Linked DNA regions of Sus scrofa. The protein of the gene in region 2 binds, or shares a complex with, the protein of the main gene of each other region. Links are inferred from orthologs where the notes say so. Each region holds a gene or a part of one and is shown on either strand. Other genes may lie near its edges.

Region 1 (2,323 bases), on a different chromosome or scaffold from region 2:
GGCTTCAGATGTGAAGCGAACAGACGGTGCGAGCCTTCTTCTGTGCCTCTGCGGGGTGTGGTCAAGCCAAACCCCTACCAACAAGGGTGGCCGCAGGAGAGGCCAAAATGGCAAAAGCATGACTGGGGGCTGGGATGTTTAACATTTTTTACTTTGCTTTTAAGAAGCCCTAACAAGATGGCAGCTCCTGCTGCCCAGCTGACTTTCACAAAGAACAAGCAGAGACTGCCACGGAGCAGGGGTCGCTCCACGTAAAGTCACTGTGATCATAGTTTGCTCATAATCTCTTACCCTCCCACAAAGTCAGACAGACAGACACACACACACACATGGGCACGCACACACCCCCCCTTCCACCACGGAGGAAATCTTTGCAACAAGAGGCACTTGAATGATATTCGGAGAGTTCCCATGAAAAGGCCTTCCCCTCACAGTGAAGTGGGATCAGCAGAACAGAAACCGGATTCTCAAGACTCCATCTCTTCTTGGTCGAGGGGTGGCGGCACAAAGCTGATGACTTCATCGTAGGTCAGGCCTAGAAATCAGGAAGGAAAAGGAGGACGTGAAAGTTCGGACTATTCATTTTGTTGGCAAGCACCCTAACTTCTAAGCTCAAGATCCTTCCTCCCTGTCCAGACTAGTGGTTCCATGGGCCACTTCAAATAACTGCCTCACCGTTTGTGTGTGATATCCTGATGGAACATGTGATTCCACAGAAGTTCAAGGATACATACAAGAGAAGCATCCTTTATTGCTTCTTTAATCATCCAGTGCCTCCTCTTTAAAACTCTCTGAAGATGCTTGAGAATAACGTAGTAATCCCATTTGCTGTAGCAACAGATAGTCCTGGCTTTTGAAATTTCACTGGAGTTTTCTGAATGTGTGTTTTATGGAGAGACTATGAAACTGAGCACAGGAGACCTGGGTTCTATTTCTGGCTGTGTCCCTAATTAGGTCTAAGGTAACAGTTAAGATGTTAACTTTCTTCACCCAAGTTCTATCAATTATAAAACTGTAAATGCACCCTATCCCCTACTTAGCTGGGAAAGATGGTATAAATGCAAAAATTCTGAGAACCTCAAAGTTCTATGCAGACGTGAGGGGCTGTGCACAAAATCAGACCAGACAGAAGCATCTCAAAGGTCCAGAGTGTCATCATCTACAACAGACAGTTTCCATCAGAGGAACATACTCATTCTGCATTAGAGACCTAACGACAAGGTTTAACAAGTTGGATTTAACCAGGAGTCCGCACCTCCACCCCCCACCCCCCTGCCCTCCCCCACTGACAGCTTTTGGTTTGTGGTTCACCTGGCAAAGATTTTTAAAGCTACGTGTTCATCATGCTCAGACTTACTTTTCCATTCATCTATAAGGAGGTCCCTGCTTTCAAAAGACTGATCGTAAGGATCAGCCACTGGTTCATCATCAGGATCATGGTACTGAGCAAAGTAGGCATGCGCAAGGGCTTGGGCTGCTGTAATTCTCTTATCTGAGTCCAAAACAAGCATCTTCTCCAGCAAGTCAACAGCTATCAGTGATGCAGATTGGAAGGAAAAAAGAGTTTTTAACACACTGCCAAAAATGTATGCTTTATTAAGCAAAACACAGTTTTGACCTTTTACACCAAAACAAAGAATTCTCCTTCAATTCTGGGATGTTACTCCTTTCCTCTTTTATTTTTTTTTTTTTTTTTTGGTCTTTTTAGGGACACACCTGCAACACATGGAAGTTCCCAGGCTAGGAGTTGAATGGGAACTGTAGCTGCCAGCCTAGGCCACAGCCACAGCAACGAGGGATCTGAGCTGGGTCTACAACCTACACCACAGCTCATGGCAACACTGGATCCTTAACCCACTGAGCAAGGCCAGGGATGGAACCTTGAACCTCGTGGATACTAGTTGGGTCCATTATCACTGAGCCACAACGAGAACTCCCCTTTCCTCTTTTATGTTTGTTTGTTTTTGTCTTTTTTGTCTTTTCTAGGGCTGCACCCACAGCACATAGAGATTCCCAGGCTAGGGGTCGAATCGGAGCTGTAGCCACTGGCCTACGCCAGAGCCATGGCAACTCGGGATCTGAGCCGCATCTGTGACTTATACCACAGCTCATCGCAATGCCCGATCCTTAACACACTGAGCAAGGTCAGGGATTGAACCCGTAACCTCATGGTTCCTAGTTGGATTCGTTAACCACGGAGCCATGACAAGAACTCCCCCTTTCCTCTTTTAAATATATGTGTGCACGTGCATGGATGGATGTTGTATTTTTTCTTTCTTTTCTTTTTTGGCTGCCCAGCAGCATGAGGAGTTCCTGGGCCAGG
Region 2 (3,500 bases):
AGAACAACAACCACCACCAAGGAAGATTGATTCTTCTTGCAGGAGAGACTGGCAGTTGACTCCACACCCAGACTTTGGTCACAAACTTTGTCACAAGCTATCCTGCTTCCCATGTTTTCCTCTAAGGGACCATTCATTTTCCTAAAAATCATTCACTCTCCCCTCAGAGGCTTATATACTGCTCTTTCCCTTTGTCCATTAAGATGGCATTTAATCCTGAATTCTTTGAATTAACTCATTTTTCCCTGCGTATCTCCAGGGTATACATGAGGTATACACATTAATAAACTTCTCCTTGTTTTACTCTTGTTGTTTTTTTTTAATCCCCAGTTAAATCTCTACTTTGTTTACTTTGTACCTATCTCATCTCACGGTCAATCAGTCATTTGCAGCCTTTAAACCGGAATGAAGGATTAAGAGGGTGGGAAGAGAGTGGAGATTCCCTTTTTTTTTTTTTTTTTTTTTGGCCGAGTCTGCAGCATGCAAAATTTCTGGCTGCACCACAGCAGTGACCCAAGCCACAGCGGTAACAACACCAGGGAACTCTGGAGATTCATTTCTAATAAAGACCATATTCATCAAACTTAAAATAGAGTCCATTGGAGTTCCTGTTGTGGCACAGCGGAAACAAATCCAAATAGTATCCATGGGAGTGTGGGTTCAATCCCTGACCTCACTCAGTGGGTTAAGGATCCAGCATTGCCGTGAACTGTGGTGTAGGCCAGCAGCTGCAGCTTCAAATAGACTCCTAGCCTGGGAACTTCCATATGCCGGGAGTTTAGCCCTTAAAAAAAAAAAAGACCAAAATAAATAAATAGAGTCCAAGGCATAGGCTTCTTCATTTTTTCTTTATTTTAATACAGTGAGGAAATGTCTCCCCTGTTTTATTTGTCCTCACAGTGTGGCCAGATAGCCTGATATAGCTAGAAAGCAGAGAGGTTATGAAGCTGCTAAACCAGCCACAACTGGCACTCAAAACAGGCACTCTGGGGTCCTTATATTGTTAAGGCTTTCTCTGAATTGTGAGTAAACTCTCTGCTGAGGCTTCCAAATTTTAGCGTAAAGGGGAGTTCCCGTCCTGGCACAGCGGAAATGAATCTGATTAGGAACCATGAGGTTGCAGGTTCAATCCCTGGCCTTGCTCATTGGGATCTGGTGTAGCCGTGAGCTCTGGTGAGATCTCAGATGCAGCTCAGATCTGGCATTGCCATGGCTTCGGCATAGGCCGGCAGCTGTAGCTCCGATTCGACCCCTAGCCTGGGAACTTCCATATGCCGCAGGTACGGCCCTAAAAAGCAAAAAGAAACAAACAAACGAACAAAAACAAATATTAGCATGAATGAATGACCTAAAGATAAGATTGAGTGATATATCGGAAAAGAGGAGATCATAGGACACCAAGACTAGCTGTTCACAAACATAGGAAAGGATGTCTTTTGAAAACCAAAAGACATGTGTGAATGAACATGACTTTCCTAACAATCCAACATCATGGCTTTCATGATAACCTGACATCATGCCCTATCTGCCAATTGTGTGTGGCCCAGCCAGCCTCAACGAAACCATCGATCTTGCAAAGCAGGCTGTATTATGCCACTACCTACACCTAACTTTTGTTTTTCAGCCCCCGTTTGTGATGGAGAAGTGGATTATAGGAATACTGGAAAATCAGACTGTAGAATGCACTGTCACATACGAGGTAAGCTTGAGGGTGGAGGGTTGATGGGTTTCACTATCAGTTTCATAGCAGGGATTTATCTGCTCCCTCAGAGTGCTTAAAATGTATTGGAAGGGAAACTATTTAACCAGCATGAATATGGGAAGATCAATGTAATTATTCTAGCAAAGTGTTGAGAAGGAATGAGAACAAAATACACTTACTTAGAGATAGAGGAAGTCATTCTTGCATTCATCAGTTAATGATTGAGCACCTTCTGCATACCACGTATGCACGTATGAGGTACCAGGTATATAGAACAATGACCAAAAACAGAGCTTTGCTTTCTTGGTGCTTAGAGTTTAAGGGTGAGGGTAGCCAGCCTAATCCTACTCACCCAGTTACCTGGATGGTCACAGGCAAAATGTGGTCAGATTTTTTTTTTTAATATAATGATTTTTATTTTTTTCGTTATAGCTGGATTACAGTGTTCTGTCAGTTTTCTACTGTACAGCATGGTGACCCCGTGACACAGACATGTATAGATTCTTTCTTCTCACATTATCATTTATTCAACAACATATCTTTTTTTTTTTTAACTACTATAAGCAAATGACCTTGTTTTTCATTACTTATTAAATGAAGAGGTAAGTTGAGATTTGCCAACAAATAAATTCTTAGGAAAGACAACCGCCTTTTTAACTACATAGTCCACTAAGGAATAAAGTGGTCAAAATTTTTCTTTTAATCAAATTACCACATTGAGACAAACTGTGCAAAAATTTTACCTACCGCATTATGCTAATGTTCTAAGGAGTTACAGTAAAGGTATCTGATAACCTGATTTTCATTCCTTTCTATTTTATAAACCTGAGTATTTGATTGTGGGTGTCTTACTCCCTTTTTTAACAGAGCGACGTTAGAACTCCAAAAAGCACTAAACACGTCCATTCAATTAAGTGGAGTAAAACGAAACCTCAGGATGAAGTGAAAGCCGTCCAGCTTGCCATTCAGACGTCATTCTCCAACTCAGAGGGCAACCCCAGAAGCAGGTCTGACTCAAGTAAGTTAGCTGCACACGAGACAGATTCCAAACGGAAATGTCAGACTCACACCAGGGATAAGTGCCCCTCCATGAAGTGAACAAGATTTCTAATGTAATACTTCCTTCTGATTTTATTTATTTATTTATTTTTATCTTTAAATTTTTTATTACAGTTGATTTACACTGTTCTGTCAATTTCTGCTGTAAAGTAACCCAGTCGTGCATCTATACACACCCTTTCTCATATTATCTTTCATCGTGTTCCATCACAAGTGATTGGATATAGTTTCCTGTGCTGTATAGCAGGACCTCATTGCCTATCCATTTTTAATGTAACAGTTTGCATCCTTTAACCCCAAACTCTGCGTCCATCCCAGAGCATATGGAGGCAGCATATGGAGGTTCCCAAGCTAGGAGTCTAATCGGAGCTGTAGCCTTCAGCCTACACCAGAGCCACAGCAACTCAGGATCCAAGCTGGGTCTGTGACCTACACTACAGCTCACGGCAATGCCAGATCCTTAACCCACTGATCAAGGTCAGGGATAGAACCCACAACCTCATGGTTCCTAGTTGGATTCATTAACAACTGAGCCACGACGGAAACTCCAACATGCAGTATATTTTTGAATGAAAGTTTTGTCTGGATATATGCCCAGAAGTAGGATTGCTGCATCATAGGGTAGTTACTATATTTAGTTTTCTGAGGAAACTCCATACTGTTTTCTATGGTGGTTGTACCAATTTACATTCCCACCAACAGTGCAGCGGGATTCCCTTTTCTCCACACCCTCTCCAGC
Region 3 (3,500 bases), on a different chromosome or scaffold from region 2:
GCTCCAGGGCCCTCACGATCTGCCATTGAGAACGGGAAGGAGGCGGAGGAGAGAGGCGGTTACTCCCGCTGGCCAGTGACGGCAGAGCGGGAAACTCCCTCCCACGGCCCCTGTCACCCACCCCCAGGGACCCAGCCCAGCCCTCCTCACCCCAGCTCCCGCCCGCCCCCAACCCCGCCCACATCTGCTGTGGCGGGCGTCCTGGTAACCGCAGTGCAGAGGCACCAGCCTTCTGCTTTGCTGAGTGGCCCAAGACCCCTGCAGAGCCCACACCTGTGACGCCCAGAATGCTGCCCCTACCCCATCAGGCTCTGCAGCCTCTCTGCCACCTCCCCCCGTGCCCCCCAGCAGAGTCAGTGGACTGCACACTGGGAGCCGTTCCCTACAGGAACTGGGCCAAAGATTCTGATTCAGCACCCAGGCGGGGGTACCCGGACATGTCAGCAGGTGCCGTCAGGGTCGAGACCCACTGGTACCCTGACTCCATGCCCTTTCTTGCTCAGGCCCAGGACTGCTCCCTGCTCTAGGGACGTGCACGCTCAGAAGGCAAACATATGGACGCCAAATGTCCCCCAGCCTAGCCTGTGCCCCGTGAGCCGCCTCTGAGTGTTTTTAGGACCAAGAAGTTGTCAACATTAAGTCCTCGTCTGGGACCCCGGAGGCTTGCGAGCTGCCCAGAGAGGCCTAGAGACCCTGGCCAGGGGACAACTGGGGGCCACAGAAGGGGCCCAGCTCTGCCCACGACACCACATCAGGACAGGCTGTGGCTGCGGAAGCAGGCCTGGGCTTCTGGGCCCTAGAACCCCCAAGCGCCTCCAGGCCTGAGCCACTTACAGACACAGCAATTTCCCCCAGAATGTCCTCTGGAATCGTCATGTTTTTCTCCAGCACCTTCCGGTAAAACTTGTCCAGGGACGTGTCCATGAGCTCCATGCAGATCCACACATCTCCCTGCAGGCGGCACCGGCTCAGCCACGCCCGCCCGCGCCCGGAGCCAGCGCCTCCCCACAGACCCGCGGCCCTCAGCCCTCAGGGGTTCGCGGACCTCCCAGCTCCCTACACTGGGGTTCGCGGACCTCCCAGCTCCCCTACACTGGGGTTCGCGGACCTCCCAGCTCCCCTACACTGGGGTTCGCGGACCTCCCAGCTCCCCTACACTGGGGTTCGCGGACCTCCCAGCTCCCCTACACTGGGGTTCGCGGACCTCCCAGCTCCCTACACTGGGGTTCGCGGACCTCCCAGCTCCCCTACACTGGGGTTCGCGGACCTCCCAGCTCCCCTACACTGGGGTTCGCGGACCTCCCAGCTCCCCTACACTGGGGTTCGCGGACCTCCCAGCTCCCCTACACTGGGGTTCGCGGACCTCCCAGCTCCCCTACACTGGGGTTCGCGGACCTCCCAGCTCCCCTACACTGGGGTTCGCGGACCTCCCAGCTCCCCTATGCTGCCTCCCAAACCCCTCGGGCCGGCCCACCGCCTCCCCAACCCCCCCCGCCCCCGCCCCCTCCCACTGCCGGGTCTACAGGGCAGCCTTCCCCCCCCATCACCTCTGGTCTCCCCATCTGGCCTCTCCTGCCTCCCTAATTACACGGCAGGTTCCAGGGAAAAGTGACTAAAACACACACGTGACTGAGTCCCTCCAGCAGGGGCTCTGGGACCCTCCTGTGCCAGCTCCGCTCTGCGACCCCGCCTGGCCAACCCTTCCTGCCTCAGCCCCGGGCCCCCCGCCCAGGGCTCACCCCAGAGGCCAGACTGGACCTCGCATCCAGCCAGACTTTATTCAGCATCTACTGCACCGAGTCCCTGCTGAGGCACTGGGGACACAGAGACATCGTGGCAGATGGCTCCCTCCTCCACCTGCAACGCACTGCCCCACGCCTCAGCCCTCGGGACGGCCTTCGGAGGACGCCGGCTGCCTGGGGTACCTGCCCGCCCTGGGCCCCCGCCAGCTCCAACCCAGCATGGGACCTGGGCCTGACACGGGTGCTCAGCCAATCGGGGACCCACCCCTGGGTCCAGGGCACCCAGCAAGCCTGGGGACCCCACCGGAGCAAAGGGCGCAAGGCCAGGCAGGGGAGCCCTTCCTCCACCCCTGGACTCTAGGAGCCCAGTGTGGGTTCCTGGTCTCTGTCCCCAGCCCCCGCCGGCCCTGCACGCCATCGGGCCGGGAGAGAGGCCCCCCCTCACACACCTGCCCTTCCCAGCCCCGCCCCCCGCCCTTCCCCGCCCCCGCAGAGCCCACCTCTCTGAACAGGGCCCCGTAGAAGGTGACGGTGTAAAAACAGTCCACTGTGCGCATGTTGACGTCCAAGTCCATGAGCAGGCGCTTCTGCTCCTGCGAGTTCACGGTGGCCCGGATGCGCTGTGGGGCGAGGGCAGCCGTCAGGTGGCTGGCGGGGGGGCCCCCAGGGGAGGGGGGGCGGGGGCTGCTCACCTTCACGGCCATGATGGTGCCGCTCTGGGCGTGGCGCACCTTCTCCACCACCCCGTAGGCTCCCCGGCCCAGCTCCGAGATGGTCACCAGGTCGTCGGCCTCAACCTCAAAGTTCTTGGGGACAGAAGAAAGAGAGGGTCCACGGGGGCCAAGACAGGTGCCAGCCCTCACCCCCCACACACCGTCCAGCAGAGGTGCTGGGGCAGCAGAAAGAGAAGGCCACCAGCCCGGCTGATCTGTGCTCCAATCCTGCAGCAAGCGCATCCTGCTGGGTGCCCCGGGGCCAGTCCTGCACGCCCACTGAGCCTCCCCTCGCCTTCCACAGAACAGGCACAGCACCAACGAGCAAGGGCTGCTGGGAGGGTAAGCGGGCTGCCCGGGAAATGCTCCCAGCAGGCGCGGGGCCCTCGAGCCGCCCCATCCCTCTGGCCCCCGCCGCTGCAGCAGCCAGACCGGACCACGCATCCAGCCAGCTTTTACTCAGCATCTACTGCATCGAGTCCCTGGTGAGGCACTGGGGACACAAAAGAGGCAAGAGACAGGCCCCGCCTCCCAGGGAGCAGCGTGGCCCGGGCCGCCCACCGTCTCTTGCCCTGTTTCCAGAGGCAGGCGCAAGGCAGCGAGCAGGTGAACCAACAGGACACTGACAGCGACAAGTGGGGGGACTCAGAACCCAGGCGGGAGGGGGTGTTGGTCGAGGAGAAGCTCCAGAGTGAGGCCTCTGCCCAGAGACCCTCGGCGTGTCCTGGGGCGACACACGGTCCCCAAGCCCTCAGGAGGTTCTTGGGTGCAACTGAAATGCACGACCCCAGACGCCGGCCCCAAGGGCCAGAACCGTGGTGGCCACACCACCCACGCTGAGGTCAGGGACTCCATGGCAGCCCCGGTTTGCCACCTCCGCCCCCTGCTCCAGATGGGCCACACGGCCAACAGCAGGGAGAGAGTGCTGTCCACCCCCACAGCCACTTCCCGGGGCCCTAGGGGTCAGCTGGGAGCAGCAAGGGCCCCGCGGGCTGGGCACACCCACCCTGTCTCCGATGGTGATGAAGGTCCGGGAGTCCAGGTT
Region 4 (3,500 bases), on a different chromosome or scaffold from region 2:
GCTGGCCATCGAGCTGAAGGTGAAGCAGGGGGCGGAAAACATGATCCAGACGTACAGCAACGGCAGCACCAAGGTGGGGGCAGCACGAGTGAACACACCCCTGTGTGCACATACGCCTGGAGCACATCACACAGTGAGGGGGTTTGGGGGGGTACCTACATGTCCCCCATGGGAGGTTTGGGCCCTCTGGGTTGGGAACAGAGGGACTGATGAATGACTGAGTGGCAGAACTGGGGTGCAGGCAGCTCATGGTGGTATGTGGGAAACAGAGTGACTGGGTGATGTCAGACAGACACACAGCAGTTAGCCCTGGAGACCCAGCAGCCTCTGTGGACAGGGCAACATGCAGCCTCTCACTGCTACTGGCATCTCTCTGACATGTGCACGTGCAGGTCAACACCTGGAGTCACACACACCATTATAACATCTAGAGACACAGCAGTAACAACACTTGGACACATGGAGGATGACTACCACAGGGCTCTCTGGACACGTAGAGACATACCATCATAATAACCCCAGGACACACAGTACAGGCCAACAGACGTCTAGACACACAGACACGCACACCATTAAATTCACACCCAGAGAGCAGAGTTGTCACACAGTCATTCCCCCCAGCTATACCAACACCAAGAACACAGTCACAGGTCTGCACCCACACCCAGAGATACACCCACAAGCACAGCCAGACCTATAGCTAGAGACCCGGGAGAGCACCCATACCTGTGTGCACACACAAAGGTGAATATTACGTGGGAGGGCACAGACCATGCCAGATTTTTTTTTTTTTAAACCTTTTATTGAGGTGTAACAAAGGGATGTGTAGTATATTTTTTTTCTTTTTTGGCCACCCCAAGGCATATGGAGTTCCCTGGTCAGGGAACTTGGACCCACCTACGTGACTCCTGTCAGGGCTACACCCACCACGGGGAACACTGAGCCACACGTATGCCTTTCTGACAGCTGACACAAATACAGTGCCTGCTGGTGCCAGGCACAGCACTGAGCCCTACATACAGATTAGCTCCTTTAATCCTCAGCCGAGTGGTGGTTGCAATCCAATTAGCAATCCCAGTCCTGTAGATGACGAAACAGGCCCAGAGAGGTTGAGTGGCTTGCCCAAAGTCACACAGATAGCAGTCTTAGGTAGCAGAGCCAGGATTCAAATGCCATGGGTTACTCAGGGCCTGCACTGGTGTGGACAGAAGAGCTGCTGGTCAGTCTCCCATCTGGCCAGCCTTCCTCTCACGGCCCATCTCTGCCTCTAGGACCGGAAGCTGCTGCTGACGGCCCAACAGATGCTGCAGGACAGTAAGACCAAGATTGACATCATCCGCATGCAGCTCCGCCGGGCACTGCAGGCCTGCCAGCTGGAGAGCCAGGCGGCCCCGGATGAGGCCCAAGGTGAGTCCGTTGCCCTGATACAGCTTAGCCTGCATCCTATCTTGTAGAGTTCTGCTCCCAGTCACATAGGGGGTTCCTTTCTGGGGCAGGGAGGTGAGTGCTCTGACTCATCATGTGACTGGAACCCATTCTTGACCCTCTCTGGGCCTCAGTTTCTCATTTTGTCCCACTCAAAGTTTCCACTTGATCAAGTGTTAGCAAACCAAAGCTCTTGGGCCAGATCTGCTACTGCCTTTTTGTAAATAAAGTTTTATTGGCACCCAGCCACACCCATTCATTTACTGTCACCTAAGGCTGCTTTGGCATTGACAGCAGAGCCAAGTAGTGGCAACAAAGACTATGTGGTCTGCAAAGCCAAAAATATTTACCCTGTGACTCTTACGGAAAAGATGGGCAGACCGCTGGACTAGGTGGTTGCCTTGTCATGTTGGCCCCTGTGGTGTCCTCAGTGTGTGTGTTTCTGTGAGTGTTTCAGTGTATGAATCTCTCGGGGTGGGAGGGGTCTCAACCTGATTGTCAGCCTGAATTTGTGACGGAGTCTTGATGTATGCATGGGCTACTGATGTGTGTCAGTATTAATGTGATATTAGCCATGGGGACCAGGGGTTGTATGGATGCTCTGTAACTATGATAATTTGCCTGTCACCATGAGAAATAGAGAAGTGTCAACTGTTGGTGAGTGATAGTGCATTTGGGCTGCTATAATATACCACAGTACCACAGATAGGGGAGGGGGCTTTTAAACAACAGACATTTATTTCTCACAGTTCTGAGGGCTGGGAAGTCCAAGATCAAGGCGCTGGCAGATCCAGTGTCTGGTGAGAGCCCTCTCCCACATTCACAGACAGATGCCTTCTTACTGTGTCTTCACTTTGGAAAGGGCCGGGGAGCTCTCTGGGGCCCTTTTTATAAGGACACTGATCCCATTTATGCAGGCAAAGTCCCCATGACCTAGTCATCTCCCAAGGGCACCAAGGTCACCACCTCCAAAGACATCACACTGGAGGTTGGGTTTCAACATATGAAGTTTGCAGGGAAACATGCAGTCCATAGCAGTTGGACCTGTAACACGGATGACAATGTATGTGTCTTTGTAGTGCGGAGGTGTGTGTGGTTGTTTGTATGAACTCTGAATGCCTACGTGAATTTCTCAGTGTCAGTGTGCGATGGTATGATCATGTCCCTGTGCCTCTGGGTGACACTGTAACCTTTGGTGGCAGCTTGCTTTTGTCCCTGCAAGTATAAAAGTCTTGGTAACTGGGCACATGTGACAGCAGTCCTGGTGAGTGCCACACACCTGTGGGTGACTGTGACTCTCTGAGTGCCAGAGTCTGAGTCTGGGTCATTATGCAGGACAATGAGACTGTCCTTGGAATCTACAGCCGTGGATAAGGGTGACTTTGACCTCATGTCCCTAGGTGACAGGTTTCCCATACCTGTGTGACAGTGTCTATCCCTGTGCCATTGGATAACTGTGGCTGTGTCCCCAGGACTTTGCCCTGAATATGGTAGCCAGCCTGTTTCCCTGTGACTGGGTCTCTGTTTCTATGAGTATTGCTGATGCTACCTTGCCTGTGTGACAATGTGGCAGCATTTCTTTACCTGTCCCTATGCCTGATCCACATGGCAGTGTGGTTGTGTTCCTGTGATTCTCCTTGGGTTGAAATTAGAACCCTGGGAGTTTTGCCACCATGTGACTGTGTCCTATGAGGGTGTTTATGTTTTGTGACTGTTTTTCTCTGCCCTTGTGACCGTGTCCCTTTGCTTGAGGTTGACAAGGCACATATCTATGTAATATCAGCCTCAATCCTGTGACAGTGTCCCTGTGTAGCAGCGTGATAGCATCTTTGTGAGAGTGTGTGTTCATCTGCCTGTGGGTATGTGTAACAGTGCCTACACTGGTGAGAAAGTGATAATGCCAGTGTCACCCTGTGAGTGACAGCATAACAATGTCTGTGTGATGTTGTCCCTGTTCCCCTAATTGCATTATATTTCATGATGTGGGTAGTTACCATTCACTTATCCAGACCCCTACTGGAGGAAATGGGGTTGTTTCTAGTCTTTTGGTCTTGAAGGCTTTGAATAACCATGAA

What was found. Proteins that work in one complex are often made in the same cells at the same time.
Region 1: MAP3K20 (region 2) and MAPK14 share a complex: the UniProt entries of both Homo sapiens proteins name them as parts of the signaling complex. The link is inferred for Sus scrofa from reciprocal best matches to the Homo sapiens genes MAP3K20 and MAPK14.
Region 3: MAP3K20 (region 2) and MAP2K3 share a complex: the UniProt entries of both Homo sapiens proteins name them as parts of the signaling complex. The link is inferred for Sus scrofa from reciprocal best matches to the Homo sapiens genes MAP3K20 and MAP2K3.
Region 4: MAP3K20 (region 2) and PKN1 share a complex: the UniProt entries of both Homo sapiens proteins name them as parts of the signaling complex. The link is inferred for Sus scrofa from reciprocal best matches to the Homo sapiens genes MAP3K20 and PKN1.

What each region holds. Positions count from the first base shown.
Region 1 is NC_010449.5:31,857,398-31,859,720, reverse strand, and holds part of MAPK14 (mitogen-activated protein kinase 14), read right to left. Parts: intron 1,532-2,323; coding exon 1,358-1,531; intron 1,160-1,357; exon of another isoform or gene 1,078-1,159; intron 536-1,077; coding exon 468-535; 3' UTR 1-467. UniProt on the Homo sapiens protein: Serine/threonine kinase which acts as an essential component of the MAP kinase signal transduction pathway.
Region 2 is NC_010457.5:79,366,513-79,370,012, forward strand, and holds part of MAP3K20 (mitogen-activated protein kinase kinase kinase MLT), read left to right. Parts: intron 1-1,624; coding exon 1,625-1,699; intron 1,700-2,569; coding exon 2,570-2,720; intron 2,721-3,500. UniProt on the Homo sapiens protein: Stress-activated component of a protein kinase signal transduction cascade that promotes programmed cell death in response to various stress, such as ribosomal stress, osmotic shock and ionizing radiation.
Region 3 is NC_010454.4:61,406,369-61,409,868, reverse strand, and holds part of MAP2K3 (dual specificity mitogen-activated protein kinase kinase 3), read right to left. Parts: coding exon of another isoform or gene 3,462-3,500; 5' UTR 2,900-3,461; coding exon 2,435-2,899; coding exon of another isoform or gene 2,363-2,434; coding exon 2,243-2,362; intron 952-2,242; coding exon 835-951; intron 20-834; coding exon 1-19. UniProt on the Homo sapiens protein: Dual specificity kinase. Is activated by cytokines and environmental stress in vivo. Catalyzes the concomitant phosphorylation of a threonine and a tyrosine residue in the MAP kinase p38.
Region 4 is NC_010444.4:64,814,684-64,818,183, reverse strand, and holds part of PKN1 (serine/threonine-protein kinase N1), read left to right. Parts: coding exon 1-73; intron 74-1,271; coding exon 1,272-1,407; intron 1,408-3,500. UniProt on the Homo sapiens protein: PKC-related serine/threonine-protein kinase involved in various processes such as regulation of the intermediate filaments of the actin cytoskeleton, cell migration, tumor cell invasion and transcription regulation.